4 linked regions of the Cricetulus griseus genome follow. The protein of the gene in region 1 interacts with the protein of each later gene in a pairwise test. Links are inferred from orthologs where the notes say so. Each region holds a gene or a part of one and is shown in the gene's direction. Other genes may lie near its edges.

Region 1 (7,996 bases):
TGAGGTCAGCCTGGTCTACAGAGTGAGTTCCAGGACATCCAGGGCTACAGAGAAACTCTGTCTTGAAACACACACACACACACACACACACACACACACACACACACACACACACACACGTATTTCTAGTACATACACGCAGTATTCAAGTGCTTATATATCCAACTCCAGTGTGTATATATATCTAGAGTGTTTAAGTGTGTGGGTGTATAGACCTGTGTGTGTATAGGTATAAGGATTCACGCATTATGCTGACCCTGCCACCTGGTAACTGGCAATACCAGCATTCAGGCAGATACTTAGACAGCTCAACTCTGTACAAATGTGCAAGCTTTCCTGTAAGGAGCTCTGTAACCAGGCAGGCAAAGGCCTGGCTGAAGGACGATTAAAAGAAAGGGAGTATAGGCCCACTACCCGGCCATTGTAGATAAGAATGAGAATGGGTGAAGTGTGGCAAAGTGTGATTAGCAAGATTTAGCAAACTATTTAAGAACCAGCTCAGAACTGGGAGCTTTAGAGTGTACCATGACCCTATGTGCTGGAGCTCTCCTCCACTAACCTGAAACAACCAGTCCATCAACCCAATACCACCGGGCCCTCAGGAGACTCGACAGCCTGAATCCAGAGGAACAGAAGTCTGGAGCCCGAACCTGCAGGCTGCTGCAGGAAAGGTGCCCCCTACTACAAGCCTATTGACTGTGGTTCTTAGGATGGTTTGCTTATGCTTGTGTGTTACTTTGACATAAGTGTGAAGTAAAACTTATATACTCAAAACCAACTCGCTGAGTTTGTCATTCCTCCCAGGTCAAAACCTGGTAGGGGCTAGAGACATTTCCCTTTCAAGGGAGCACCTGCCACCTGTTCATCCCTCCCCCCTTCCCCTTACCTACCCCTCCCTTTGTTCTCTTGGGTTTGTGGTTTGTGTTTCATGGCTTGCAGCTGCAGCAACATGATGACAATAAGTATACAGACCTAATGTGTGTGAGTGCACACACCTGTTTATGCACCTGTTTATATACACGTGTGGTTGTCTACATAACTAAAAAAAAATGTGTTAACCTGCACATAGCTGCCATGCAGATGCTGAGAACCAACCCTGGGTCCTCTAGAAGAGTAAAGTGCTTTTAACTGCTGAACTATCTCTCCAGGCCCTCTACCAATAAAAAAAAAAAAAAAAAAAAAAAAAAAAAAAAAAAAAAGTTCCTTAAATGTGTGTGGGGGTTTTGCTTTGTACCAGGTGCCTGCATTGGCAGTAGAGACCAGAAGGGCACATCAAATCCCCTGAAACTTGAGTTACAGCCATAACTAGAAGGGCAGTCAGTGCTCTTAGAAACTGCTGAGTCATCTCTTTAGACCCTTCCACCAAATATTTTGGGATAGGGTCTCTCACTGCACCTGGGCTAACTAATTGGCTAGACTGGCTGGCCAGGGGCGCCCAGGGCATCCTTATGTTTCCATCTCTTGGCTTTGGGATTATAGGCAACACAGTCATCCTGGCTTTACGTGGGTGCTGGGGAGCCTAACTCAGGACCCCATGCTTTAGTAGTAACATCACCCCAACCTCCTGGATTTCATTACAAAAGTAACACAATGTAGGAAAATTTGTGAAGAAGTACAAAGGAAAGTCAGACATGGAGACCCTTGTGTATAATTCCGGCCAAGCAGGAAGAGTCCTATGAGTTTGAGGCTAACCTGTGTTAAAGATCCCAATAGTCAAACAGAAAAAGGAGTCCCCAGTTGTTACAAACTTCTCTGTAGGTCTTTGTGTGTACTCTGCTTCTTTTTTCTCTTGTGATCACTTTACGTGGGTAGACAGCTAAGTACGAGTCTTTAGTCACAAAACTGGGCAGTTTTTAACTTATTTTGAGGCAGGGGCTTACTTTGTAATCCTTGCTGGCCCAGAACTTGCTCTGTAGACCAGACTGGCCTTGAAATCACAGATATCCACCTGCCTCTGTCTCCAGAGAGGGATTCAAGGTATGTGCCACCACCCCAGGCCTACAAAACCAGGCTTTATAAAAATATATACTTGTTTTAAAGGTGATGTGAAACTAATTTATATTATTTTCCACTTTGAAAAGTCTAGTAGGTGAAAGGTCCAGGGTTTATCCTCAGCTGACCTAGCCCAGTATGAAAAACTCAGGAGGGGGTAGGTAAAAGCTGTAGTGGAGCCCTTACTAAAAGGACTTGGCAGTTGACTGCAAGTTTAATATGAGTCAGTGGTGTGTCTGCCAAGAACCTCTTTTTTTTTTTCTTCCCTTTTTGTCTTTCCTCTTTGCTTGCCTTGCTTTTCCCTCTCCCTTTTTTGCTTCCTCTCTCCCTCTTCTTTTTCCTCTCATTATGTTGTTCAGGTTAGAATCAAGTTTTGAGCTCAAGCAAGCCTCGTGCCTGGATCCCAGTATCTCCACTAGCTAGGACTTCAGCCAAGCCAGCATACTCAGTATGCACCAGTAACTTTCCTGCACAAACGCAATGCTCCGTTACAAAGTAGAAGCCACAGTCCTGCTTGATTACGGTGGTATTACAAAACTCGACTTAGTCCTGGATAGAAGGGTTTAAAGGAATCACAATCAAACCAGCCAGTGCCCAAAGAGAAGGACAAAGAACTCCAGAATTAGGATAGAGGAAAAATAAAAACAATGGAAGGGATCAAGTATCCCAACTCAAAGAAGACTTTGGGCAAAGTCCGGGGTCCAAGAGCCATTAGATCAGTTTGTTCTCAGGCTTCCTGGGCTAGAATATGGTCTTTGAGATGGAACTCCAGAGCTGCCCAGACTAAGGAATGCAATGTTCTGGACATAGTGGACTCCCTGTCTTTGATGGGTCTTGTGGTGAAGTGAGGTAATGCGTGTCTATACAACCACTGCTCTTTGTTGTTTGCCACGAGCCAGAACTAAGCCTGGAGTCATACATTATTTCATTGCGGAGTCGTAGTATATTATTTTATTCTATTAGTATGGTCTTTGATAAGTTAACTCCGTGTAGTCAGATTCCTTGGTCAAGTTCACTCTGTTGGTAAGTGGTGAAACTAGGATTTGAACTCATTCTGATAAACCCCAAAGCTGGTCCCTTTGGTTACCACGGAGTTGAGTTCAAGGCTCTCTGGAGAGGGTTTGGCCAGGGAGGCCCTCAGGTTCATTTGTCTACAAGACTGGGCAGCTAGGCCTAGTAAGGGACACTCTTTCCACCTTCAGGAAAGCATCCGCAGAGTAGGCGGGGGCGGGGTAGCCAGCCCTCCGCTGAAGGGCGCAGGCAAATCGCCCAGCGGTGGTTACCCAAAGGAAAGGGTCAGGTTCTTTACGTGCATCACCCCCAGAGCTCGGAAGCACCGGGGTTCTGTGGTTACAAGTTCCCCGAGCCCTCCGAGGGTCTGAGGCAGGTCCTCCCTCCCTCCGGAGAGCATCAGCGGCGGCCGGCTTCTGCGGCAGAGCCCGAGTACGGAACAGAGCGCCGGTCCCTGGCCGGGCGCGAGCTGGGGGCGGCGCCGGGGCGGCGGGGGGGGGGGGAGGGCGCGCGCCGAGGCGGCTGCGCGGTTGCGCGCTAGGATTGCTGCGGTGCGGCGGGGCCGTGAGTGCGGCGACCCCGCGCGGGCGGGAGAGGGATTGGAGGCGGCGGGCGCGGGCGAGCGGACGGCGAGCGAGCGAGCTGGGCAGCATGCGCCGCTGAGCGCGCGACCCGCGGCCCTGCCGCCCGCCCGGGCGTCCCTTCCGCAGGGCCCCCCCCGGGCCCGGATCCGCGCGCGCGCGCGCCGGCCCGCGGCCTCAGCACCCCGGGGTGGCGCACGCCCCCGCCCCCGCCCCGAGCCCGCCCGCCCCGAGCCGCCCGCCCGCCAGCTCACCCGGCCGGCCGCAGCCCCTTCCCGCGCGGCGGCGACGCCCCCGGCCCACGTCACGCTCGCGCCATTGTTTCTCCGGCGGCGGCTCCCGGGACCCCGCCTTCTCACGGAGCGGGCCGGCGGCGCTGTCGGTCCCGTCGCCCGGCTCGGCGGGCAGCCTCGCCTCGGTTCTCCTCGCGGGGCGGGCGCGGGGCTTCTCCCGGGGGCTTCTCCCGAGGTTGCGAGCCTGGCGGGGTTTGGACCTGCCCGCCGAATGGCCTGCGAGCCTGGCAGTTCTGTGGTGTGCGGCACTTCCTGCAAAGCTCACGGCGTCTGCAAGTCGTCCCCCAAAGACGACTGGGGACGGTGTGTCCCTTGCCTGTTTCCTGGGCCCCCCGAAGCCCCTCGGGGCGACGTGGGGCCTGTTAGAGGAAGAACGTTTTTGGACGGTCGGCTTCGCCCGGCCGGCCGCGGCTTTTCCAGGCAGCAGGCGAAGGCTCGAGTCGGAGTTGTTTCACAGCCTGGGCGGTTGTGGCTGTGCTAACGCAGCGCTCTGGAATGACTAGTCACCAAACACGGTTGCGTGTGCCCCATCGTGTCCCTGCGCGCCGGTCCGCACATTGTTTCATAATGACCATAGACTATTAATTTTTCTTAGGGATGCAAATTCCTGTAGCCGGCATGTGAAGGGGAGGATGTTAAAACAGTGCCATTTATCGTAGACAGGAGAAGCTTCAGGTCTTTGCTGTAGTCACCTTACATTTTTCATCGATGCTTCAGAATTTATCCAAATGAAGACATCTGGGCTCGGGGGATCAGTTCAAGAAGCCAGCTAGTTCGAAATTAAAATAATAGTTTTGCGGGTGCCTTACAGTGGCAAAGTGATTATGCCACACATACTTTGTAAGAGCATTTCCATTACAGCACGAACCTGTTCTGTGGGCCTTAGACAGGCTGTGTATCCTAGTGATCTCGAACTGGGGATCTTTCTCTCAGCTTCCCTAAGTGCAGGTGTTAACAGGCCTGTTTCACCATGCCTGGGTTTGAAAATACTTTTATTGCTTCACATTTACTCAACGAAAGCAAAAGACAAATTCAGTAGTATTGGTTGTTGTATTATTCTCAACCTAGAATTTAGAACCAGCTAATCTGTAAAATAAGATAATGTCCTTCAAGGTTCTGTTCTATGAAAATGTACAGTCAGCCAGAAGTTTATAACTTCAAGAAGATTAATACAGATACTTAGAGTGTCTACTGGCCTTACTAGATGACATCTTGCTGAAGAAAGCCAGATTATGGGGGACTGTTAAGAAGTGGAGTGTTCTTTTATGTGACAAAACTTTGTTGTGTGAAGAAAGTAGTATACAAAATACGGTATTTAGAAAAAGTTGTTTATGTTATTGCTGTTTATTTGGGGTTTCCATGATATAGTATCTGCTATGCATTCCAGGTTGTCCTAAAAATCCTGCTTCAGCCTTCAGAGTACTGGGGGCACACACCACTTGGCCTGTGTCTAAGCCTTAGCATCTCAGTTTGGTGTGGTGGTACACTGGAGAGGCAGGAGCAGGTGGATCTTTGTGTTCAAGGCCAGCCTGGTCTGCAGAGCAAGTTCAAGACAGCCAGGACTACTATAGACCCTGTCTCAAAAAACAACAGCAGCAGCAGCAACAAAAAAGTCCAAAAATGATTTTTAAAAAAGTGTGTAAGATCTCAGCCAGGTGGTGGCGGTGCACACAATTAATCCCAGCGCTCAGTAGGCAGAGGCAGGAGGATCTCTTGTGAGTTCCAGGCCAGCCTGGTCTACAGAGAGAGCTTTAGAACAGTCTCCAAAGCTACAGAGAAACCCAGCCTTGAAAGACAAAACAACAACCGGGCATTGGTGGCGCATACCTTTCTTCCCAGTACTCGGGAGGCAGAGGCAGGCAGAGAGGCCAGTCTAGAGTTGAGTTCCAGCACAGCCCCCAAAGCCACAGAGAAACCCTGTCTCGAAAAAACAAAACAAAACAACACCAAAACCCTCTCTGCTGGGAACTGAGATGAATTCGGGGCTAAGCTTAGGCTACGCAAAAGCAGTCTACTATTGAACTGCATCCCAGCCTTTTTTATTTTACTTTGCGATAGAGCCTCATTAAGCCGCTCATTTTGTGCCACTCTTCCCCTGGCCCAGGACCCACCCACGCACCTTGAATTGGCTGTGAGTTTAGTCTGGCTTCCAGTTTGGGATCCTTGTACCTCAGCTCTTCAAAGTATGGGGATTATAGGCATGAGCCACCATGCTTGCCTGGGCTTGAAAAAAAAGGGGTTGTGTGTTAACAGCTTCACTGTTTCCAAAGGCTTAACTCAGTGAAAGCAAAACAAAAACAACCTGCTTAAATCTTATCATGGTATTTATGCTTAACGGTTTTTGTTTCTAGCTTTTTGAGATAAGGTCTCACTTTGTAGCATAGGCTGGCCTCAGACTAACATAAACTCCTCAAGTCCTTGGATTGTAAAGTGGGTCCCCATGGGTGATCTCAAATTTTATTTAGTGATGATTGCTGTGTATATACTGCTACTGGGCTGCCCACATTTCTAGGGACCTCATCTAGTGTTCATTTGTGGATGTTTTGAAACAGGCCGTTATGCATGGCAGTAGGCAGTGCCTGGCACACATGCTTCTAGTAAATTTTTGTTGATGTGATGTTTTTAGCTTTTATGACAACATCTACTAACATGAAATGTTAGCTATCACAAGGCATATGTTAAGTGACATGTCAGTAGCAAAACTGTATTTTCAGCCAGGAGACAGGCAGCCTTACATATATATTTTAGGGGCAGTAGTACGAGATAAAGCCAGAATGTTCTGGAAAGCTCTTTACAGGATAGTGCTACTTGGAGTCTTTGCAGCTAGAGCAGAATGAATAAAGAGAACCATTTATTTATTTATTGGTTTGGGTTGAGTTTTTTAGGTTCAAACCCAAATAAAGTTGGTAACAAATCTTCCTAGAGTACTAAAATGACCCTCTAAACATTTTTATTCCAGATTTATCCATATTTTATGTGTGTTTTGTTTTTATTCCAGATTTATCCATATTTTATGTGTGTTTTGCCTGTGTGTGTATATGTGCACCACTTGTGTTCCTGGTGCCTATCAGTATCAAAAGAGGGCATTGGTTCTGTAGTTGGAGTTGCATATGGGTTGTGAACCATGTGGGAGATGGGAATTGAACTCAGGTTCTCCCAAAGAACAAACAAATGTGCTTAGCCACTGAGCTATCTCTCCAGCTCCACTAAGTCTTAAATTACTTTTTTTTTTTTTTTTTTTTTTTTCTCGAGACAGGGTTTCTCTGTGTAGCTTTGGAGCCTAACCTGGCACTCACTCTGGAGACCAGGCTGGCCTAGAACTCATAGCGATTCGCCTGCCTCTGCCTCCGAGTGCCGCCAACTCCCGGCGGGGTCTCACTATCTTAAGCAGGACTGCGGCTCAGTAGTTTCTAGTCTCTTGCTTTAGCCTCTGCAGTGCTGGGATTACAGGTGAGGGCCAACATGACCTGTTTTATGTAACTTTTATTGATTGAAATTTGATTGTATCCTATAGCAATTGTTGCCAAAGTTTTTCAGAAAATAGCTAGCAACAAAAATGCAGCAACATTAACAGAAAAACCCCATAGTAGCAGAGTAGCAAAAATACTCCCCCTTTTTATGCTGAATACAGAATCAGAAAGATGAATTTGATTTGGAGACTAATGAACTATTTGTTTTACCATTAGTGTGTCTTTGCTGGCTGGGAACCATTTCCAGGAATGTCACATGAGAAAGCCTGTGTGACAGAATCTACTTGGGAAATATGGCACCTGAAACTTAATGTCTTTTTAAAAAAAAAAGTGAGGCCAGCAATGGTGAGAGCAGAAGACTGAGGTTTAAGGTCATTGGCTATTAATGGAGTTCAAAGCTAACCTAGGATTCCCCAGGCCCAGTCTCAAAAAAGCAAATAAGCATTTAAATCTTAGCATGTTTTCATTTGAAATGACAAGTGGAATGTACTTTTTTTGAGGTATAATTATTTAACGTTTCTTTTTTTTTTGTTGTTGTTGTTGAGAATTTCATATATGAGTACTGTATATAATCCTACTTTTACCCCCTCCTCCAGTGCACCTACTTTCTCAAATTCAGTCTCTTATTCTTTATTAGTGTTACATATAT
Region 2 (7,264 bases), on another chromosome or scaffold:
ATAAACTCAGCAGGGCTTTGGTCGGTTGCTGGCTTCTGACAGAGTACTAAGACCTCTGGAACAGCAGCCAGGGTTGTGGATGTCTCGCCAACACCCAGCCCACAGACTCACCTCACCCTTGCTCCAGTTCCTGGCCTGCTGGAACCTCGTGAGTGAGTGCCTTGAGTTCTGACCTCTGCCTGGACATGTTCCCTCCTATCATTCTGGAATCTGAGCTCATCCTAGTCGTACTTTGGATTCACGAATTCTGTTTCAGAACTGACCCATTTGTAAAGACCCAAGACACACCACATGAGCCAAGGGCATCAAAGTCCTGGGTTTTTTGTCTGTCACTTCTTTGTAGATCACTCATCTGAATATATTTTCTTCTTGGAATCTTAAATTTTCCCAGCCTTAATCTGAGAGTCACAGGATGTGAGATAGGTTGGGTAGGACAGAGGAAAGGCATATTCTTAATGGAGACTTAGTTCTCAACTGAAAATCACTTAGAGATCTGCAGGTCATCTTTCTCATTTTCTATCTCAATTCTTATCTACCTGTCCAGGATGATTGTCATGCATGTGTCTGGGTTATCATGAAGCTAGTCAAAGTTTAGGTCTAAACACCTAACACATGCAGTCCTCTGCAGTGAAGACTGTGGACACTGTCCTAAGACATGCAGTGTGCTGCTATGGAGACTGTGGGTTGACACTGTCCTAAGACATGCAGTTCTCTGCAGTGAAGACTGTGGATGCTGTCCTAAGACATGCAGTCCAGTGCAGTGGAGATTGTCCTACATAACTTTCTGATTGAATGCAATGAGTGAAGCTTATCTTTCATTACCTGGGAACTTAGACTGAAAGAACAAATGGAGTTAATGATTGAGGAAAAGGGAATTTCAAATTCTTTCTTCCTACCCTACAAGCTAGATAAAGTTGTTCTTCATTAAAACGTTCTCCCTTCTTCCAAAAGCATTTCTCCCCACTGGCAGCTGAGTACCCTAGCTGACCTGTTCCTGGGAGGGCATCTTCTGATGCAGTGAACTTCTTCTCCATGGCCTGCTCTCTCCATCAGCCTTCATTTGCTTGTTAGTGCCCCTGTGCTGTTGAAGAATAAACTTGAAATTCTTCATTATGCTGAACAGTTGAGTGGTGTCTCTCACACAGGCCCAAAGGCAAGTCAAACTGCAAAGGAACCTGTACTTTGGATTTTAGAATTTGATTTGAAATCCCAGCCCCACTGTTGTGTAAAACTACAACCCATACTTCAGAGCCTCTGTTACTCATCTGTGAAATAGGAATAATGAAAGGAATAATGAAACTATGTCACAGGTAAAGATGACATAGTCAACCTTCTGCAGTTTGTCTCATTTGTCTTAGAGGGAGTCCAGTCATATGTATGGGACACTCTTCCGAAGATTCTGGGTCCTCTCTCAACATTCAGTGGTGGTTTAGTGGCCCCATTTTAACATTTAAAGCTCTAAAACTCAAGTAGCTGCCCCTGCCCCATCTTTGCCCTGGGTTTACCTCATCTCTGAATCATGGCACCTGTTGCCACACCATTCAGCCACTATACTGCATCCACATTCTCTCTGGGTTTGTTCAATGTGTTGACTTTGACTTTCAAGAAAAGCTGGTATCCATACAGGGACCTGGAGAGGCAGATCCCATCACAACTGACTGCCAGACAGATTCCATCTCTCCTATTTTGACCAGGAGGGAGGAGGATACCAGGAGATTCCTCTGACAGAACATCTCACAGCAGATAAGTTCCCTAGGTCCCTGTAGAGATAAGAACAGCAAAAACCCAGGCTTCCGAGGACCTGGGGCATCCTTATGGCAAACCTCTACCATGACCTGGAAGCTGGTGGTTATACCTGTCCTCTCTGGACAAGGAAATGTTCCTTGTAACAGTGACCAGATGCCAGAGAGATGGGGTAATCCCCCCACTATGTTCTAGGCACTATAGGAAGACCTTACACATTGTGACACCTTCCCCACCACGTAAGGAAAGCCTTGCTCTGACCCCTCCTATAGAATCGAGAAACCAAAAGTTAAATAACTGGCCCTGATATAGAGCTGATGAAGGGGACTGAGCAGGAATTCAAACAGTCTGTTTATCTTTGAAGTTCATTACAATGGACTTTCTATTCATGGCAGGGTAAATAGCAAGAGTGTAAGTAGCTTTTCAGAGAGAGACGAAGTGCCATCCATCCTGCTGCCTGATGCCTCAATCCCGCTGGACGTTGTGGCTGGGAAATTTGAGGGACTCTTCCAGCCACCTCCCCTTTCTCCATTATGAAAGCATAGCCCCTCAAAGAGATGGAGTGGAGTGAGTGGTGCTGTGCTGTCTGTGAATTGTCCGCCTTGGAGGCAACACCTTGGGAAACACTTCCAATCAAAATTTGCAAATGGGTAGCTTTGTGGGATGCATCTAATGCAGAGAGGTGTTTTGTTTCAGCAGCAAGAATTTTTAAAACTTCAGATTACTTGTTAACTTTTTTTTTTTTTTTGGTTTTTCGAGACAGGGTTTCTCTGTGTAGCTTTGGAGCCTGTCCTGGCACTCGCTCTGGAGACCAGGCTGGCCTGGAACTCACAGAGATCCACCTGCCTCCCGAGTGCTGGGATTAAAGGCGTGCGCCACCAACACCCGGCTTACTTGTTAACCTTTTTTAAAAGACAATGGGTTTACACGATTTCCGAAATTACCTTGAAAAACCCAAAGTTCTGATACCCTGTGTCTCCATCCCGCTCTGGCCCCTGGTGGCTGGAGTGGAGCACTTGGCCCTGGAAGTGGGACAGTGCTTTTTAATCTGCTACCATCCTTTTTCCCTTGGGTTCTCTGTGCTGGTAAGAAGTACCAGGTTCCCCTCCCCACCACAGCTTCCCCCAGACACCATTTTTCTCCTCTTGGAGGTAAGGGTGGAAAAGATCCTTCCTAGTGGCTTCATACCTTTTTCTTTTTGTTCCTCTAGGCGTTCCCTTCCCAAAGAACTTCCTTCAGATCTGCAAGAAGATCCTGTGCCGTCTTTTCCGAGTCTTCGTCCATGTCTACATTCACCACTTTGACCGGGTCATTGTGATGGGTGCAGAGGCTCATGTCAACACCTGCTACAAACACTTCTATTACTTTGTCACAGAGATGAACCTCATAGACCGCAAGGAGCTGGAGCCCTTGGTAAGTGTCTCGGCAGCATAGCACCATACGCTGTGAGAACTACGGAAAGCTGGGGGGTAAGATGGAGCTGCAGAATTAGACAGGGCACAGTGATCGGCAAAGGACTGGGATGCATCAAAATGTCTACTGCAACCAGGTAAGTGTTTGAAGTTGCTCTCCAGGAGGTGAGATTGTTAGACCCGAGAAAACTCAAGTATCCGGGGTCCCAGGCCACGTTCGCGGTCACCCCAATCACCAGGCGGATTCGAGAGCTCGCTGCAAACTGCACGAGGCTTTATTGTAATTTAACGAGCTAACCCCATGTTAGCTCGGGTCTTTCACCCACCCACCACGGTCTTTCACCCACCCACCACGGCGGATGGCTCGCAAAAGACGGCTCCTAGGGGCTCCCGAAAGATCTTATAGGGCAGCGTAAGGGGAGTGTCTAGGGGTACGCACAGGCTCACGATTGGTGTGCTTCCAGGCTTGGAGGGCTTGCCCTGTGTTGATTGGTCAACTGGTTGTTATGGCCCATAGGCCCTCCCAGGGTGGTTGCTACGCGCTTGTCCGTAAAGCACACCCAGGGTCGTAAAGCATAGCGCCACCAGCTAACTTCTGATTGGTTCCTTGTCATGAGGCAGGCATCTGACTTTCTAGTTTCTAGGACAAGGTCATAGAAGCACGCGTTCGGCCATTATGGCTACCAAAAGGGAAGCTGGTCCCTTCAAGATAATGTGGTGACATTATTCCTACATAATGATTTGGGCCAGGGAAGCTAGATTTAATGCACAACACTGAAAAAGAAAATCATTTTGTCAATTTCTTAGAGACATCCTCTCCCTGGATTTTGTTTGGTTTTGGTTTGGTTCTTTGAGACAGGGTTTCTCTGTGTAGCCCTGGTTGACCCAGAACTTGATCTGTAGACCAGGCTGGCCTCGAACTCAGAGATTTGCTGGCCTCTGCCTCCCAAGTGCTAGGATTAAAGGTGTGCACTACCACTGCACAGCTGAGACACTTCTTTGATCTATCACTATTAGTCAGTGATGGTCAGAAACATTTATTTCCTTAGTCAGTAAGTAACCATTTAACACCCACTGTATGTCAGCTGCTCAGCACACAGAGAGAAGCAAGTCCTAAGGAAGAGCTCTGTGTCATGGGAAATTTGCTATTTATATTGAATCACCTGGGTAAAGCCATCATAGGTATATCATTTGAGAGTAAGAACATTTGAGATTAAGCTGTAACTTTGTTATATTGACGAGTGGAGTATGAGTTCATTTTATTGTTTTCAAAAGAGATTTATTTTTATTTTGTGTATGCTTGTTTTGCCTGCATGTATGTTTGTATACCATGTATGCATGCAGTGCCTATGGAGGCCAGAAGAGGGTCTCAGATCTCCTGGAACTGGAGTTACAGGTGGAGCTGCCATGTGGGTGCTGGGAATCGAACCTGAGTCCTCTGAAAGACCAGCAGGTGCTCTTAACAACTGGACTCTCCCTCTATCCCCTGCTTTTATTTTCACTGTTGGCTTTAGTATGTGCTTCAATCAAGGTCTCTGAAAACCTTTGTAACAGGTTCACTGTAATGAGGATGCTTGCCTCACAGCTGTCCCCAGTGAGTACCTTTCTACCCGGTAGGATACATTGCTTTATGAAGTCATGGTTTCTTTTTCCTTAAGAAAGTTAAAGTGTAGTTTTGCTAAATATAGTTGGTGAAGTAAGTTTCATCCAAGTCATTTTGAATATTGACTAAAATACAGGGCCTAGCTATCTGCTCTACTATGTACCCTTGTTTCCTTGTCTATACAATTGAAATAATGTTTTATTATTATTTGGGTACCTGATGTCTACAGCTCATATAACTACCACTGAAAAGATACTGTGTTATATTCACATATCCCTACAGTGAGATCTGAGCCCAGCTATGTGAAGAAGCAGCAGATCAGGGAGGAACCAGAGTGGACAGAGAAACGGTCATAGAGTATACTCATTGGGAGGCTGTCAGCAGGCTTGCAGCACACGGGCTGTTCCAGTCTTCTGTTACTATGGCCTGCCATCTTTGTTCTGATAACCTAACGTGGGAGGTGGTTGGCTATGGGCTCTAGATTGTCTGGCTGGGTTATACTGGCTGTGTGTGAATAAGACATGAGTAAACAGTTTGCCACCTCAGATATTAACTAGCTGGTGTGGTGTATGGGGGATCCCACTCAGGGTCAGCAAGGTCCCAGGGATTAAAGAAGCAAAATGCAAAACATAAAGATTAAAATATAAAAGACATTAGCTATACATATACTGCATCTATACCTATTAAAGAATATGTTGGTGAATCTTATGTTACCTTTAGGAATTTAATTCATGGTCTACAATTGCACCAATGGAATACACAGCAGTTTGTTTTGCATACCATTGTGATGTCTCTCACATCATTGGTTAAAGAATAAGTGGTATCTTCACTTTCTTTCCATTAGGTTCGTAGAAAGAATTTGGGGACAGCCCCAAGTAATCTCTGAGCATCACTGTAAGACTCACATGGCAAGAAACTTAAAGGCACTGGTGGTGGGTTTGTTAGTCTGTTCTGTACAAAGACTGCTTGAGAGTGTAAATAACCACCATGAGAGTAAAGGCTGTACAAACAACTCAGGGGAGTGTAAACACTGGAAACTGTTGATAAAGCTAATCTCAGAAAATGTCAAGGACAGTGGAAAGAGAGGGCCTTTAAGTGAAGAGATACAAAGCACTTCTGTTGGGCCATGGAGTCAAGTTCCCATCGGAGTCATGCCCAGGTAGATGGAACAAGTCCCCAGAGGCCACCAGAAGTAAGAGCTCCACTAGATGCTCACACTTTCAGTGTTGCTGAGTTAGCAAATAAACATTAGCTGGATAGGGCTGAGCCTCAAGTCGTCCTTTATACACAGCCACATAATGGCTATTGTGGGGGGAAAGCCCGGGGCTAAGTCAGCCTTTCTTTGCTAGCTTAAAACTCTATGTTGTGTTCTGTTACTGAAGAAAGGCCCCAGGAGCTGGAGCACCTGGTAGTGCCGGGAGCTGCCTTGCAGTCCCAGCCTCACTGCCAGGCCCTGAATAAGCCAATATTCTACTAAGAAGTTCTGTTGGGGGCCTGGAAGAAAATCCATGATTATCCTCACTGGGAATTGTTAGCAGTGGAAGTGACAAGAGAAGTATTGGGTACCCTCCCTCCAAGTTTGTATTTCTTTAACTCGTACTTAGATTTGTTTTCTTCCCACATTGATGTTTTGTTGATCATGGTGACCGGAAAATCAATTGTAATAGGTAGTAGTAAGTAGTCTTAAAATAATTATGTGAAATTATGCGTTTGGCTTGGTTATACAAACTCAAACCTGTAAATCACAGGACTGGATACTGTGACTGTTTCTGGGATAATGATCACATGATGGCCAGGCACGGCGATACATGCATGTAATCCCAACACTCGCATGCTCGGGAGGACTGCTGCAATTCTGAGTCTATCCTGATCTGCACAGACAGTTCCAGGCCAGTCAGGGCTCCTTAGAGAGAACCAGCCCCAAAATAGTAACACCAGGGGCTGGAGAGATGGCTCAGCTGTTCAGAGCATGGACTGCTCTCCCTGAGAACCCTGGTTTGATCCCAGGACCTTCTTGGCAATTCACAGCTGTCTGTGACACCAGTTCCAGGAACCTGGACAACCTCTTCTGGTTTTTGTGGGCACTAAGTATGTACACGGTGCACAGACATGCAGGCAGGGAAAATACCCATACACATAGAATAAAATAATTTTAAAAACCCACAACAGTTATACGGTGCCAGGCCCAAGGGCTTAGCATATCCAGTGTCACTAAGAGTGTTGTACCTGTGGATTGGCACTAATGATATTGTGTTCATTGATATCTCAATATTAGACTCTGTGTCTAATGTTGCAAAGTTGCAAAGAACATATTGCAGTCAGAGCTAGCATAGCAAATCAGTACACTTAAATTTGTATTTTCTTACATTAATTTATTGTGGGGGGAGTATGCTTAGGTTTAGATGTGCATTTGTTTACGTACTTGCAGCTGCACACAAGTGTACACACATGTCGGGGGCAGAGAACAACTGTGGGAGTCAGTTCTCTCCTTTCATTACAGGGTCCC
Region 3 (6,495 bases), on another chromosome or scaffold:
AGCCTCCAAAGCCACAGAGAAACCCTGTCTTGGGGGAAAAATAAGAAGAAAAAAGGAAAGCTTGCCTTTGTTTTACTGATGCTTGATATTCTTTATGTGTTTTGGGTTTTTTTTTTTTTTTTTTTTTTTTTGAGATATATATAATCTCACATTGTAACCTCTCACATTGTAACCTTGGCTGGCCTGGAACTTGCTATGTAGACCAGACTTGTCTCAGACTCAGAGATCCACCTGTCTCTGCCTTCCTAGTTAGTGCTGGGGTTAAAGGTGAGTGCTACTGTACCTAGCTAATACTCCTTTTCTTGTTCTCACTCCCAACCCCTTTGTTTTTACAACAAAGTCTCTCTTAGCTGGAGACTAAACCTAGAGTCTTTTGCACCTTAGGCAAGTTCTGACCTCTAATAGGCAGTGCTTTAAAATAGCTGTTGGGGCCTGGGCAGTGCTGACCAAAGCCTTTAATCCCAGCACTTGGGAGGCAGAGGCAGGTGGATCTCAGTAGTGTAAGGACAGGCTGGTCTACAGAGGAAGTTTCAGCACAGCTAGGGCTACACAAAGAAACCTGTCTCAAAAAACCAAACCAAAACCCCAAACCAAAAAAAAACTGTTAGGGCTACAGCTGAGTAGTACAGCATTTGCCTAGAGTATGAGAGACCATGGGTGTAACGGTTGCCTGTACCCAGATACTCAGGAGAGACAGGAAAACTGCTTGTGAATGCATTAGTCCAAGGCCAGCATGTACCTATAATTGGGGGCTGAGAGGTGAGAGTATCAGTGGTTGCTCTTGCAGAGCACCTGTGTTTGATTCCAGGGAACTGATGCCTCTCTGGCCCACTGGAAAAACAAACATGTACATGGTATATAGACAGGGCCGCAAAATACTGATATACATAAAAATAAAAAACATTAAATCAAAACAACAAGAATTTGATTATGTAAACAGCAAAAAAAAATGTGTGTGTAGCAAGCACTCATAGATAATTTACTCATTTTGGTGTTTGAGACAAGGTCTGTGTAGCCCTGGGTGTCCTGGAACTTGCTATGCAGATCAGGCTGGCCTCGACTCACAGATCTACCTACCTCTGCCTCCCAATACCAGCAATTTATTTATTTATTTATTTATTTATTTATTTATTTATTTATTTATTGGTTTTTCGAGACAGGGTTTCCCTGTGGCTTTGGAGGCTGTCCTGGAACTAGCTCTTGTAGACCAGGCTGGTCTCGAACTCACAGAGATCCACCTGCCTCTACCTCCCAAGTGCTGGGATTAAAGGCATTCGTCACCACCGCCTGGCCACCAATTTATTTATTCAGTTATTTCCTACAATGTTTGATCATATTCCTGCCCAGTAACTTGCTTTTTTCTTCATTATTTGTTTGTTTTTCTTCTATGTGTATTGGCCTATCAATGTGTAGGTGTTAGATCCCTTGAAACTGGAGTTTATAGACAATTGTGGGTTTATAGCTGCCATGTGGGTGCTAGGAATTGGACCTGGGTCCTCTGCAAGAGCAGCTAGTGCTCTTAACTGCTGAGCCATCTCCAGCCCCCAGTCATTTGTTTTTGATGCCAGGGATTAAGCATAAACCTGGAGCATTCAGGCAAACATTCATACACATAAGAAGAATTTTAAGAAACAACAACAAAAAATCTTAAGCCATTTGGATGTCAGCCTTGTCTAACCCTCTTGCTAGTCCTTTTGGGTGGGGTTGTAACCCTGGCTGTCCTGGAATTCATTCTGTAGATCTGATTGGTCTTGAACTCTGCCTCCAAGTGCTAGGATTAAAGGTGTGCATCACCACTGCTCAGCTGCTAGTCTGTCAATTTTTTGTTTTGTTTTTGTTTTTCGAGACAGGGTTTCCTCTGTGTAGCTTTGGGGCCTGTCCTGGAACTCACTCTGGAGAATAGGCTGGCCTCGAACTCACAGAGATCTGCCTGCCTCTGCCTTTCGAGTGCTGGGATTAAAGGTGTGCGCCACCAACACCTGTTGTCTGTCAATTTTTTAAAGCAATAAACATTGGTTTATTAGTGAAAAGTGAACTCCTGAGAGTTGGAAGGGCTCAAAAGAGGAATAGTATTCTTGCTAACTTGAGAGTAGGTCAGCTGTGAGGACTTGTCAGATGATAGACTCACACAGGGTGTATCTTGTTAAGGACCATTCAACCAGTTAGTGTTAGAGACAGATCTTGAACTTTGATGGCATCTAGCTTAAACTGCCCTTATTAGTTAATCACTGCCCATAAGCCCTGGTATTAAAGGTGCCTGAGATTTCTGTGCGGGGCTCAGAGGCTAGCAGACTACAGGTGGTTCTGGTTTTCTTCATACTTTCCCCTTGCTTAAACTATAAAGGACTAGACAACTGGGACACATGTTCTGAGCTTCACAATGCCTTTTCTTTCAGACAAGTAAGCAGTTGGCGGCAGCGTTCCAAGAGGAGTTTACAGTGAGAGAGGACTTAATGGGCCTGGCAATTGGAACACATGGTGCCAACATCCAGCAGGCTCGAAAAGTGCCAGGAGTGACTGCCATTGAGTTGGGTGAAGAGACCTGCACTTTCCGAATCTATGGGGAGGTCAGCCAAAGATGGGTCATTTGTTCCTTTGGGGGACTGAGGGGATAGAGGGTAAGGTGGAAGGCTAATCTGAGCTATGGTGACCTCCCTGCCAAATATCGAATGGCAGAGAGATCCAGGTTCTGTTTTAGTTTACTCTTTGCTTTCTATAGACGCCTGAGGCATGCCGACAAGCTCGAAGCTACCTGGAATTTTCTGAGGACTCTGTACAAGTACCCAGGAACCTGGTTGGTGAGTTTGGGTGTGTGTATAAAAGGAATAGTTATGGCCAAGATGGCAGGACTTGAAAACAATTTTGGGCATCTAACTAGGATTAGTGCTACTCTGTGGACTTCATAAGTTTCAAAAGGATGGAATAAATAGTCTTGACATATGAATGAAAAAAAGGGGAATGATAAATTTGTAGGGATTGTAGATTGTAGCTTTTTTTTTTTTTTTTCCCTGTCTTTTTCCTCTTTCCAAGACAGGGTTTCACTCTTTACTTCAGCTTTGGCTGACCTGAAACTCACTTTGTGAACTTTGTGAACCAGGCTGACCTCCAACTCAGAGATCTGCCTGCCTCTACCTCCCAGGTCCTGGGATTAAAGGCGTGTTTCCACCGCTGCCCAATAGACTGTAGTTTTTTTTTTTGTTTTTTTTTTTTTTTCCTTCGAGACAGGGTTTCCCTGTGGCTTTGGAGGCTGTCCTGGAACTAGCTCTTGTAGATCAGGCTGGTCTCAAACTCACAGAGATCTGCCTGCTTCTGCCTCCCGAGTGCTGGGATTAAAGGTGTTCACTACCACCGCCTGTCGACCGTAGCTATAAGATTCCTAGAAGCAGGAGAATGAATAAGTACAATATATGTAGCGAGGTGGCTATAGAAGACTTTTACTTTTATTTCTTTGAAAATAACAAAAATTAAAAGCCCAATTCCTCTGTTATTCATTTAGGCAAAGTGATTGGAAAGAATGGGAAAGTGATCCAGGAGATTGTGGATAAGTCTGGTGTGGTGAGGGTTCGTGTTGAAGGTGATAACGACAAGAAGAACCCCCGGGAGGAGGTATGGGGCACAGAGGCCTAGAAATTGTTTTTCAGAAGTAGGAGGTACTTTCTTCTGAGGGCTGGGAACCTCTAGAGGGTGGAACACACAACCTTTCCTTTGCTGTGGTAGACTGATCCTGTTGTCTGTTTGAGGAGTGGGCTTAACATTTTAATCTTTTCCTTTCTGATTTTCTTTCTTTTTGAATAGGGGCTCACTGTATAGCTCTAGCTGGCCTGGACTTAATTTGTGAACCACACAGACCTTAAACTCAGTTCACAGAGATCTGCCTGCCAGTGTTGGGACTGAAGTCATGTGCCTCCGTGCCTGGCATTTGGTGGGGTGGGCATTGAGACAGAATTTCATGTAGCTTAGGTTGTGCTTAATTACCTTCACTGTGTAGCTGAGGGTGGCTTTGAATTCCTGCTCCTCCTGAGTGCTAAGATTGTGTGTATGCCATCATAGCTAACTGACTTGTAATCTTTCCTTTGTCTGTTCTCTAGGGAATGGTTCCCTTCATATTTGTTGGCACCCGAGAGAATATCAGCAATGCCCAGGCACTGCTAGAGTACCACCTCTCCTACCTTCAGGTACCCATGTTTGAAGCCATGCCAGACAAACTGGGGTAACAAGGGGCAAGAACTGCTGGTATATAATTTTTGGGGCTGTCCTACCTGGTTTGTCTTTTTGTAGAACAGGACTGTTGGTTGATATTTTGGCTCTGGGGCTGTGTCCTATTCTTTTTAAGTCTTTGTCTTCCTTTTTGTAGTCCCAGAAGCTTAGCTACACAGGGGCCATATGGGTAGAAAAGCATGAAGGAGTGGACTGTCCATCCATTTTAATTCTCCTGTGTTGTCTGTCTTTCCAACCAGGAGGTTGAACAGCTTCGCTTGGAGAGACTGCAAATTGATGAACAGCTTCGGCAGATTGGGCTGGGCTTCCGTCCTCCTGGGAGTGGACGGGGTGGTGGTGGTGGTGGCAGTGACAAGGCTGGCTATACCACAGATGAAAGCTCCTCTTCTTCCTTGCACACGACCCGAACATATGGGGGCAGCTATGGGGGCCGGGGCCGGGGCCGGAGGACTGGTGGCCCTGCCTATGGTGAGACAGCCGTGGGGGCAGTGGAGGAGGAGATGTTTGGGTGGAAACTTGGAAAGCTGTGGCTTGGGTGCTTGTGAGTGTAGGAGGTGGTGGACCCCTAGGGCAAGACCAGTATCTCTGAGTAAAGCCTTCTGTGCTGCCTGCCCTTCAGGCCCCAGCTCAGACCCATCCACGGCTTCTGAGACAGAGTCAGAAAAGAGAGAAGAGCTTCATAGAGCTGGACCCAGTGACCGAGATCGAGATCCCCCAAACCGTGGAGAAGAGAGCCGGAGGCGGCCGATTGGGGGCCGGGGAAGGGGACCCCCGCCTGTTCCCCGGCCTACCTCAAGATACAACTCGTCATCTATTAGCTCAGGTATCAGAGAGTTGGGGGTCATGTATGTGGGCCCAAAGGAGAAAATAGTGGTCACCTGACTCCAGTCCCTTTCCTGCCTCTCAGTGCTAAAGGATCCAGACAGTAACCCTTACAGCCTATTGGACACATCTGAACCAGAGCCCCCAGTTGATTCAGAGCCTGGTGAACCCCCTCCAGCAAGTGCCCGCCGTCGCCGTTCCCGCCGCCGTCGTACTGATGAAGACAGGACAGTCATGGATGGAGGCCTGGAATCGGATGGTCCTAACATGACAGAGAATGGCCTGGGTGAGGAGCGAGCGCGGTTCCTGGAGGTGGTGTGAGAAGAAAGAGTGAAGAAGGAGAGGATGGGTGTGTGACTTTTCTTTACTCCACAGAAGATGAATCAAGACCCCAGCGACGGAATCGAAGCCGCCGTCGCCGCAATCGTGGTAATCGAACTGATGGGTCCATCAGCGGAGACCGCCAACCAGGTCAGCTGACACTAGGGGATTAGAGCCTCTCTGCAGCTAAGAGTGGGGTGCCTCATGCTCAGGGTTGGGTTTAATGGGAACAGTGGAGATGGATACCTGTATTCCTGAAAGTCTTGATCCTCTCCTCCTTTCCTAGTGACTGTGGCAGACTACATCTCACGGGCAGAGTCTCAGAGCCGCCAGCGGCCACCTCTGGAACGCACGAAACCCTCAGAGGATTCTCTTTCAGGACAGAAGGTAGGCAGTTGCAATACAGCTTACCCCATTCTTTTTTTGGAGGGGGACATAGAAAACTTCCCTAGGAAATATGTGAGTTGTTGAATTGGCTGTGTCTGGGAGTTCAGGTTAAGCTGAGGATGGAGCAGAGCTGGCACTAACAGAAGGCAAGCCTCACAGCAATCAGAGCAAAGGGAGATAGATAGGGAACAGCCTCTGGTCGCCAGGTGTCTGTAGTGAGAAGGAATGCCTACACCTGGTGCACTGATGAACTGCTTTCTTTTTGTTCTCATCCTGTTTCCTCTTCAGGGCGACTCTGTCAGCAGGCTTCCCAAGGGCCCCTCGGAGAACGGGGAGCTCTCTGCCCCCTTGGAGTTGGGTAGCTTGGTGAATGGGGTTTCATAAACCTCCAGTCCACATCCCTCCTTTCTCCATCTCGCTTGCTGCCCACCACCATGACCCTCATGGGTCCAACTGACCTGCGCTGGAGCTGCTCTTATCTACGGGGGAGGGGGGTGGCACAGCAGCTTGGGTCCCCCCAATCTCCAGGAGCTAGTGGAGGGGTGTGTAACAGGGTCACCCCCTCCCTCTTGTCCACCCTTCACCCCCAGGGTGAGGGGAGCCTCCCCTTCCCTATCAGACTGGATGTGCCTTTATCCTCTAATGCCCCGACCTCTAAACACCCCCGTTCTCCGCCTGTTGGTGGGGGTGCTCCTTGACCCACCCAGATTTGACAGTTCAGGGGGGCTCCCCTGCTATCCCTCCTCC
Region 4 (7,264 bases), on another chromosome or scaffold:
ATGAGCAGACCCACTCCTTGGCTATAGGAGGCCCTGTCTCTAAAGAGTAAAATAAAATTTAAAATCCATAAAACAAAATTACATTAACTATATGAATGTTAAGGCTTTGTTATTTTCAGAACGCCTTTGATTTCTGTGTGAACCCAAAACACAGCAGTTAATTTCTCACATCTATAATTTGTTAATAGCAGTTTCATATTCATGAGTGTTTTTTATTTTTTTCAATAGTGCCTTGCCTATTTTGTAAGTTCAAATTATAAAACAAATCATTACATAGCCAATTGAATTATAACCTTTAGAAAGAAAATTGCTACCCAAGTTTTTGATAAAATATCTTTGATTGTCTGAGCTTCCCCCAAATGCATAGACAGAGCTCCTTTCGCTTTACCTGCTACTGTGTGTGTGCACCACTTCCCAGGATCATGTACAGATTATACACACTTCCCAGGATCATATACAGATTATATACACTTCCCAGGATCATATACAGATTATATACACTTCCCAGGATCATATACAGATAGGATCATATACAGATTATATACACTTCCCAGGATTATATATGGATTATATGCACCTCCCAGGATTATATGCAAGTGGGAGAGGGTGCACAGGAAGTATCTAGTGACTGGAATCTCAGATGAGGAACTGATGACCCTCCTTGCATGCTCCTTCCATGAGGGAATGTCAACAGGGTCCTCATGATGCTTGAGTAATCCCAGCTGCTCTGGCTAAAGTAGAAATGGCTGTTGTGTGGAAGCAGTGTTCTATAACCAACCTCCTTCCGATTTAGTCTCTTCAAGGTCTTAGTGAGTGAGTGAGCCTGAATTCCAATTTACCACCACCCAAAATAAAACAATTTAAAAAACAATATTTTTGATACAATGGAATGTTTGAATATTTTCTATAAAGTATTTCTGAGAGAAACTGAACTATTCAATGAAGAGTTAGTGAACAATTAGTCCTGTAACCACCAGGCACATTATAGAACAAACTCGAGGTTTCTATATGTACTAGTAGAACCAGTTTCTGCTTGAGTTCTCCTGCAAGGCCAGAACTGGGGAAAGAGCTGGGAAGTGCAAAGTGCAGTGCTGCGTTTGGCTCAGTCACGTGACAAGATCCATAATGTTATGCTAGTCGTGGATATCCTCTGGAACTCAATTTCGTTATCTATAAAATGAAGGCCTTGAATAAAGTGGTACTCAGCATTGATATCACTTAGAAAGTGATAGACTTGACTCAATGAAGTTGAAAAGTAAAATTTAAAAGTTTTGAAAATGAGTGTGGTCTGGGAGTGTGTGAGTGTGTGTGTGTGTGTGTGTGAGAGAGAGAGAGAGAGAGAGAGAGAGAGAGAGAGAGAGAGAGAGAGAGAGAGAATATCAGGCTGTCTTTTAGTTTCTGTTGTTTTAACATAATATGTGAGGAGACTGGGTATCTTATAAAGAAGATATATTTATTTGGCTTATTGTTCTGAGTGTTGAAAATTCAAAGAACATGTCATGAGCATCTTTGTTCCATAGTGGATGATCAAAAAGGATGAGTGGGGGAGTTCCCTTTGTAACAACTCATTCCCAAAGCAGCACCGATTCATTAATGTGCAACCTGTGAACATCTCTAAAGTTCTAAGGCTTACTGCTATCACATTGGAAATTAACTTTCAAAAGGGGGTTGGTAGAGACATGCGAACCTCAGCAAAACCCAAGTCTAGATGTCCTGTCTTTATGTCCCCAAATGCGTGTGAGAAGAAAGAAGGGGCAGGGTGTGTGCTTCACAAGGGAATCAGGAGGTAGAAAGTAAACCAAGTTTGAGTACAGTTTGCTCTCAGAGTACCTCTCTACCTCATAAAGGAAGGAGTACTGGCTTGAGAGTTATTTTTCTGCATCTGTGGGTAGCAATTCCATGATTTTTACAAAAGATTTCCTTATTTATTGCATGTGTATGAGTGCTCCATCTGTTTGTACACCTACATGCCAGAAGAGGTCATTAGATCCCACTATAGATGGCTGTGAGCCACCATGTATGTGCTGGGAATTGAATTCAGGACCTCTAGAAGAGCAGGTAGTGACCCATCTCTCCAGCGCTCCATGATTGCTTTTATGGTTTTTTGTTTTTTTAAAAAAATTTCCATTGAGGTGAATCATGGTTATTTAAGAAATTGGCTCCCTTTTCAAGATAACAGGCAGGAGACTTCTTTGTGTGTAGTTTGTATTGCAAACTCTAACTCAAAACTCTAAGAGGCCATACCTAAGAGCTTCAGAATACTTAAAACTTTTGGAAATAGTGGAGATCATTCTTGTCAGTCTTCTGTTTGGTGCTTATTTATCAGAGAGTAATACATGGAAGGCCTGGCTTACTTCTGTTTCTCAGAGGTGACTGCTTTTGTAGAAACAGTAGGGTCTTTTTTTTTTTTTTTCTCTAAAATGATACTGCTGTAAAATGACTAAGGAGAGAAGGAACATTTACCACATCAGTGACAATAATCTATATTTGCTAAATCCCCAAGTTTGGGATATGAAAATCTGTAGCATTGGAGACCTTTGATAGCTTATGACAGTTTTTAAGTAAACTTGACTTCAGAACAACTGTGTTCTGTATGTTGTTAAAGGAGTCATATCAGGAGCTCATGTTCCAAGATTGCTGACTATATTAGGACACTGAATGGCCATGAAACAAAGATTAAGTGCACCTTTGAAAGACCCAAGGGTATTTGACCAGAAACCAGCAGGACAGATTTCTAAGAAGAATAATTCATTACAATAGCAAAGATTGGCTTGTGTCAGTATTTGGAAATCCTCATTTTCTTTTTCTATGACTTACAGGAGTGCTTATGTGCTATATGACAGTGATAAAATTCTTTTCTTCACAGAATCAGAGTGAGAGGTTTGCTTTCCTTACAGAGTGGTACGATCCCAACGCCTCACTGCTCCGACGCTACGAGCTTCTGTTTTACCCCGCAGATGGAACTGTTGAAATGGTAAATGAGGGCTAGGACCATGGCTCAGTTGGCAAAGTGCTGGCTGTGCAAGCCTGAGGACCTGAGTCTGATGCTCAGCGGCCGGGAAAAGTCAAGCAAGGTGGTGCCTTCCTGTAATCCAGCACTGTGTAATTCCCGTAGAGATGTGGTGGGCCTTACTGGCTCGATGGTCTAGCTGACTGGGTAAGCCCCAGGTTCAGTGAGAGGTCCTGTCTCAAAAGCTAAGGTGAAGCAGGAGTGGTGCTGCACATCTTTAATCAAGTACTCAGGAGGCAGAAGCCTGGCCAGTACTTGGTTGAGGCCAGCTTGGTTTACCTAGCAAGTTCCAGGCCAGCTCGGGCTACATAGTGAGACTCTGTCTTAAAACAAAACCAAAAAAACCTCCCCCAAACAAAAAAGGAAACAAATAAAAGTAAGGTGTACAGCTCCTGAGAACAAGACCTGAAGTTCACCTTTGGCTTCCAGGCGAGTTCATGGAAGTCTGCTCAGACATACGAGCTAACACACTGACAAATAGCCTTTGCTTGCTTAAAAATTAGCAAAATTATTTTTATGGGACAAGGAGAAGAATAAGACTGCCTTTGGTATGGTTGATTTTGATTTTGCAATTGAAGATAAATTTTTTTCTTTGTAAGTTGAAAATAGATTTTTTTCATACAATATTTTCTGATTACAGTTTCCCCTCTCCCAACTCCTTCCAAATTTTCCCAACTTCCCCATCACACCCTGTCTTTCTTTCTTCATTAGAATATAAACAGGCATCTAAGAAACTAAATAAAAACAAATCATAATACAACAAAACAAACAGAAAAAAAAGCCTAAGAAAAAAAGCACAAGAAACACACATAGACATTGAGATACACACAGGTGGCCAGCTTGCAAGGCACACTGGTGTAATAGTGGCACAAAGGTGTGGGAGTAATCAACTACTATCTGAAGATGTATTTTTATTGGAATTCTTTTTTCTTAGTGTTCATTAATATATCAAGATAGCTTTCTGCTGGTATTTTTTTCTGAGTTATGAGGTTGACAGGATTTTACCACATAATCCAGAATAGCTTCTCCTTTGCAATCCTGCCTCATCTCAGCTGGGGTTATAAATGTGCACCTTCGCACCCAACCTTGTTGGAGATGTCTAACCAAATTATTTCACAAGTTTTGACATTAAAAATATAGGAACAGCTTAAACTTAGTGACATTTCACTATAATTTCAATACTTAGGAGGCTGAGGCAGCAGAATCACAAGTTCAAGGTCAGCCTGAGCTGTATAGCAAGACGTCTTCTCAAAACAAGCTAAGCAACCTAGAGAGATCTCTTAGTGGGTAATAACACTGGCTGTGAAAGCATAAAGGTCTGAGCTTGAACATTAAGCACCTACATAATAGCTGGGCCTTATTCCATGTGATGGATGCCAATATTGAGTAGCAGAGACAGGCAGCTCCTCTGAGCTCTCTGGCCATCGAGCCTAGCTTAAACAGCAAACTTCACTTTCAGTGAGAGACCCTGTGTCAATAGAGTAAGGTGGGAAATGACAGAGGAAGACACCAGACAACTTCATCGGTTATATGTGTAGTCAAAAGTAAAAGGGTATAGCTATCTACCTCCCAGTAAGGTTAACATTCTTTACTTATATTTTTCATTGTGTTTGGTCCTAGCATGATGTAAAGAATCGTCGTACCTTCTTAAAGCGGACCAAGTATGACGACCTGCGCGTGGAAGATTTGTTTATAGGCAACAAAGTGAATGTCTTTTCTCGACAACTGCTGTTGATTGACTATGGGGACCAATACACAGCTCGCCAGCTGGGCAGTAGGAAAGAGAAGTAAGAAAACAATTATGTCATCTTTTCCATTGAATCATTCATTATGTGGGACTTTGGCTACTAATTTCTGATTTGCTGTTTCTTGATTGTGTTTTCACAGCATACCTTTTTTTCCAGTGACCCAATATAATGTTATAACATTCTTTTTTGAATAGTTTGCAACTGATCTAGGATTTGTTTATGATTAGAATAACAAAATGATTATCTGTAGTCTTGGGAGGTGAATATTTTGGGGGGGGAGGGGAATGAGAAGTTTTTTACACACTATCTTTTTTGTTGTTTTTTTGTTGTTGTTGTTTCTCACTAAAGCCTAAGACTATTTTGAGAAGGATAAACTCTTCTTCCAATGGATAGGAATGGCTTTGGGAGAGAGGAAGCAATGATGCATGAATCAATGTAAACTCGGAAGACAATGAAGTTTTTCTTGCGAAACTGAGGGCTTTGTGGAGTCGTTTGGTCTTGATGATTAAAGACAGATTGAATTATCACCCAGTTAGATGAGCTGGGGTCAAATGCTAGCCAAAGGAATGAGTGTAAAGAAAGATGCAAAGGTGGGAAATCCTAGCTTAAGTTGAGAAGAACTATTATTCTGCTTGAATAAGATGGTGGCTGAAACTTATAAAAGTTTAATTACTAAAATAATGATCTGAATAATTATGGTAATAATAGGTATGAATAGGAAATAAAAAGTGTATGTGGTTAATTGAAATGGAGTAATGAAGGCTGGGATGTAGCTTAGTTGGTAGAATGTCTAGAATGGATAAAGCCCTGAAGGCCTGGGTTTGAGCCCCAGCACTGTGTGAAACTGGGGGCAGTGGCCTATGTTTGTCTTCCCAGCACTTGGGAAGTAGAGGTTGGAGCATTCGAGTTCAAGGTCATATGAGGTTATGTACGGAGGCTCAGGTCAACTTGTATGAGATCCCAACTTATAAAAATAAAATGAGATGGGCAATGGTGGCACACACCTTTAATCTCAGCACTCAGGAGGCAGAGGCAGGTGGATCTCTGGGTGTAAGGCCAGCCTTGCTTACAGAGTTCCAAGATGGCCAGGACAGTTAAGCAAACAAATCCTGTCTCAAACAAACAAATAAATAAAGCTCAGAGACCGTCCAAGTCAAGAATGCAATCGTTAGAAACATCTGGGGTGAAGGTGGATGAGAAGCTGCCTCAAGGTGATGCACTAAGTGAATCAAGCCAAGAGAACAAAGGATTGCCTCTGTTCCAAAGACAGGAAGATCTGGACAACATCAGAAATCACAGAGAGAGAGATAGCTTGTTGGGGGAAATTTATTCAGCTACAAAGAGTGAAATTCTGACATCTGCAAAAAGAGGATAGAATTGGAGGTCATTATGGCAAGTGAAGTAAGCTAGACTGATGATGGATATCATATGCTTTCTTTAAAATGTGGAAGATAGACAGATAGATAGATGATAGAGTGTAGAAAGGAAACTATGGAGGAGAGAGGACTAAAGAGAGTGGGGATTGGGGAACAAGAGATTGTAATAGAATATATATGTCATGAAAGCAGACAGAGACTATTGGAGGGAAGGAAGTGAGACTAAGAAGAAATTAGTCACCATTGGAGAGCGCAGCAGGGTGTGAAAAAGAACAGGGTATAATGACATGAAAATGTCACTATGAATCACATTATTTTATATACTAACTAAAAAAAAATTTTAAAGAAAATGATGTCAACTGTAAAGTGTGGGGGAAACAAAAAGGGCAACCCAGTAGGAAGGAGTGGGCAGCACACTGCTCCACTGTTGCTCCCTGGCAGAGCTGGCAGGAAGGGATGGGAGCAGGGAGGGACAGAAGCCTTATCCAAAGTTTAAGCCAGGTGATGCTTGTGAGAAGACACTAGCATTGTCAAGTGGAATATATATTTATGAAAGGGGACCAACCCGAGGAGGGAGAGATGGTGGGGGGGGGTTCTTTTTTTTCAGATTTTTTAAAATTTGGATTAGAAACAAGATTGTTTTACATGACAATCCCAGTTCCCTTCTCCCTCCCGTCCTCCCCTACCACCCCCCCCCAACTAAAACCCTACCTATCACATATCCTTTCTGCTCCCCCTGGATTGTGAGGCCTTCCATAGGGTGTCAGCAGGGTCTGTCATATCCTTTGGGATAGGGCCTAGGCCCACCCCTGTGTGTCTTGGCTCAGGGAGTATTCCTCTATGTGGAATGGGCTCCCAAAGTCCATACCTATGCTAGGGATAAGACTGAACTACTACAGGAGGTCTTGTAGATTTCCGAGGTTTCCTCACTGAAACCCATGTTCCTGGGGTCTGGATCAGTCCCATGCTGGAATCCCAGCCATCAGTCTGGGGAGCAAGAGTTCCCTGATGCTCAGGTCAGCTGTTTCTGTGGGTTTCCCCAGCCTGGTCTGGACCCCTTTGCTCTTCATTCATCCTTCTCTGCATCTGGATTCCAGTTCAGTTCAGTGATTAGTTGTAGGTGTCTGCTT

Evidence for each region.
Region 2: the proteins of Nt5c2 (region 1) and Mob3b interact in binary tests that used the Homo sapiens proteins (3 or more experiments, as listed by UniProt). The two-hybrid records come from large-scale screens. The link is inferred for Cricetulus griseus from reciprocal best matches to the Homo sapiens genes NT5C2 and MOB3B.
Region 3: the proteins of Nt5c2 (region 1) and Fxr2 interact in binary tests that used the Homo sapiens proteins (3 or more experiments, as listed by UniProt). The two-hybrid records come from large-scale screens. The link is inferred for Cricetulus griseus from reciprocal best matches to the Homo sapiens genes NT5C2 and FXR2.
Region 4: the proteins of Nt5c2 (region 1) and Nme7 interact in binary tests that used the Homo sapiens proteins (3 or more experiments, as listed by UniProt). The two-hybrid records come from large-scale screens. The link is inferred for Cricetulus griseus from reciprocal best matches to the Homo sapiens genes NT5C2 and NME7.

What each region holds. Positions count from the first base shown.
Region 1 is NC_048596.1:14,584,950-14,592,945, forward strand, and holds the start of Nt5c2 (cytosolic purine 5'-nucleotidase), read left to right. Parts: upstream 1-3,508; 5' UTR 3,509-3,567; intron 3,568-7,996. UniProt on the Homo sapiens protein: Broad specificity cytosolic 5'-nucleotidase that catalyzes the dephosphorylation of 6-hydroxypurine nucleoside 5'-monophosphates.
Region 2 is NC_048595.1:107,011,999-107,019,262, forward strand, and holds part of Mob3b (MOB kinase activator 3B), read left to right. Parts: intron 1-2,953; coding exon 2,954-3,156; intron 3,157-7,264. UniProt on the Homo sapiens protein: Modulates LATS1 expression in the Hippo signaling pathway which plays a pivotal role in organ size control and tumor suppression by restricting proliferation and promoting apoptosis.
Region 3 is NC_048600.1:83,491,911-83,498,405, forward strand, and holds part of Fxr2 (fragile X mental retardation syndrome-related protein 2), read left to right. Parts: intron 1-2,396; coding exon 2,397-2,567; intron 2,568-2,719; coding exon 2,720-2,798; intron 2,799-3,496; coding exon 3,497-3,606; intron 3,607-4,088; coding exon 4,089-4,175; intron 4,176-4,457; coding exon 4,458-4,686; intron 4,687-4,837; coding exon 4,838-5,041; intron 5,042-5,125; coding exon 5,126-5,326; intron 5,327-5,415; coding exon 5,416-5,511; intron 5,512-5,647; coding exon 5,648-5,748; intron 5,749-6,036; coding exon 6,037-6,132; 3' UTR 6,133-6,495. UniProt on the Homo sapiens protein: mRNA-binding protein that acts as a regulator of mRNAs translation and/or stability, and which is required for adult hippocampal neurogenesis. Specifically binds to AU-rich elements (AREs) in the 3'-UTR of target mRNAs.
Region 4 is NC_048598.1:28,012,203-28,019,466, reverse strand, and holds part of Nme7 (nucleoside diphosphate kinase 7), read left to right. Parts: intron 1-2,866; coding exon 2,867-2,974; intron 2,975-4,630; coding exon 4,631-4,797; intron 4,798-7,264. UniProt on the Homo sapiens protein: Possesses an intrinsic kinase activity. Displays 3'-5' exonuclease activity with a preference for single-stranded DNA. Does not seem to have nucleoside diphosphate kinase activity.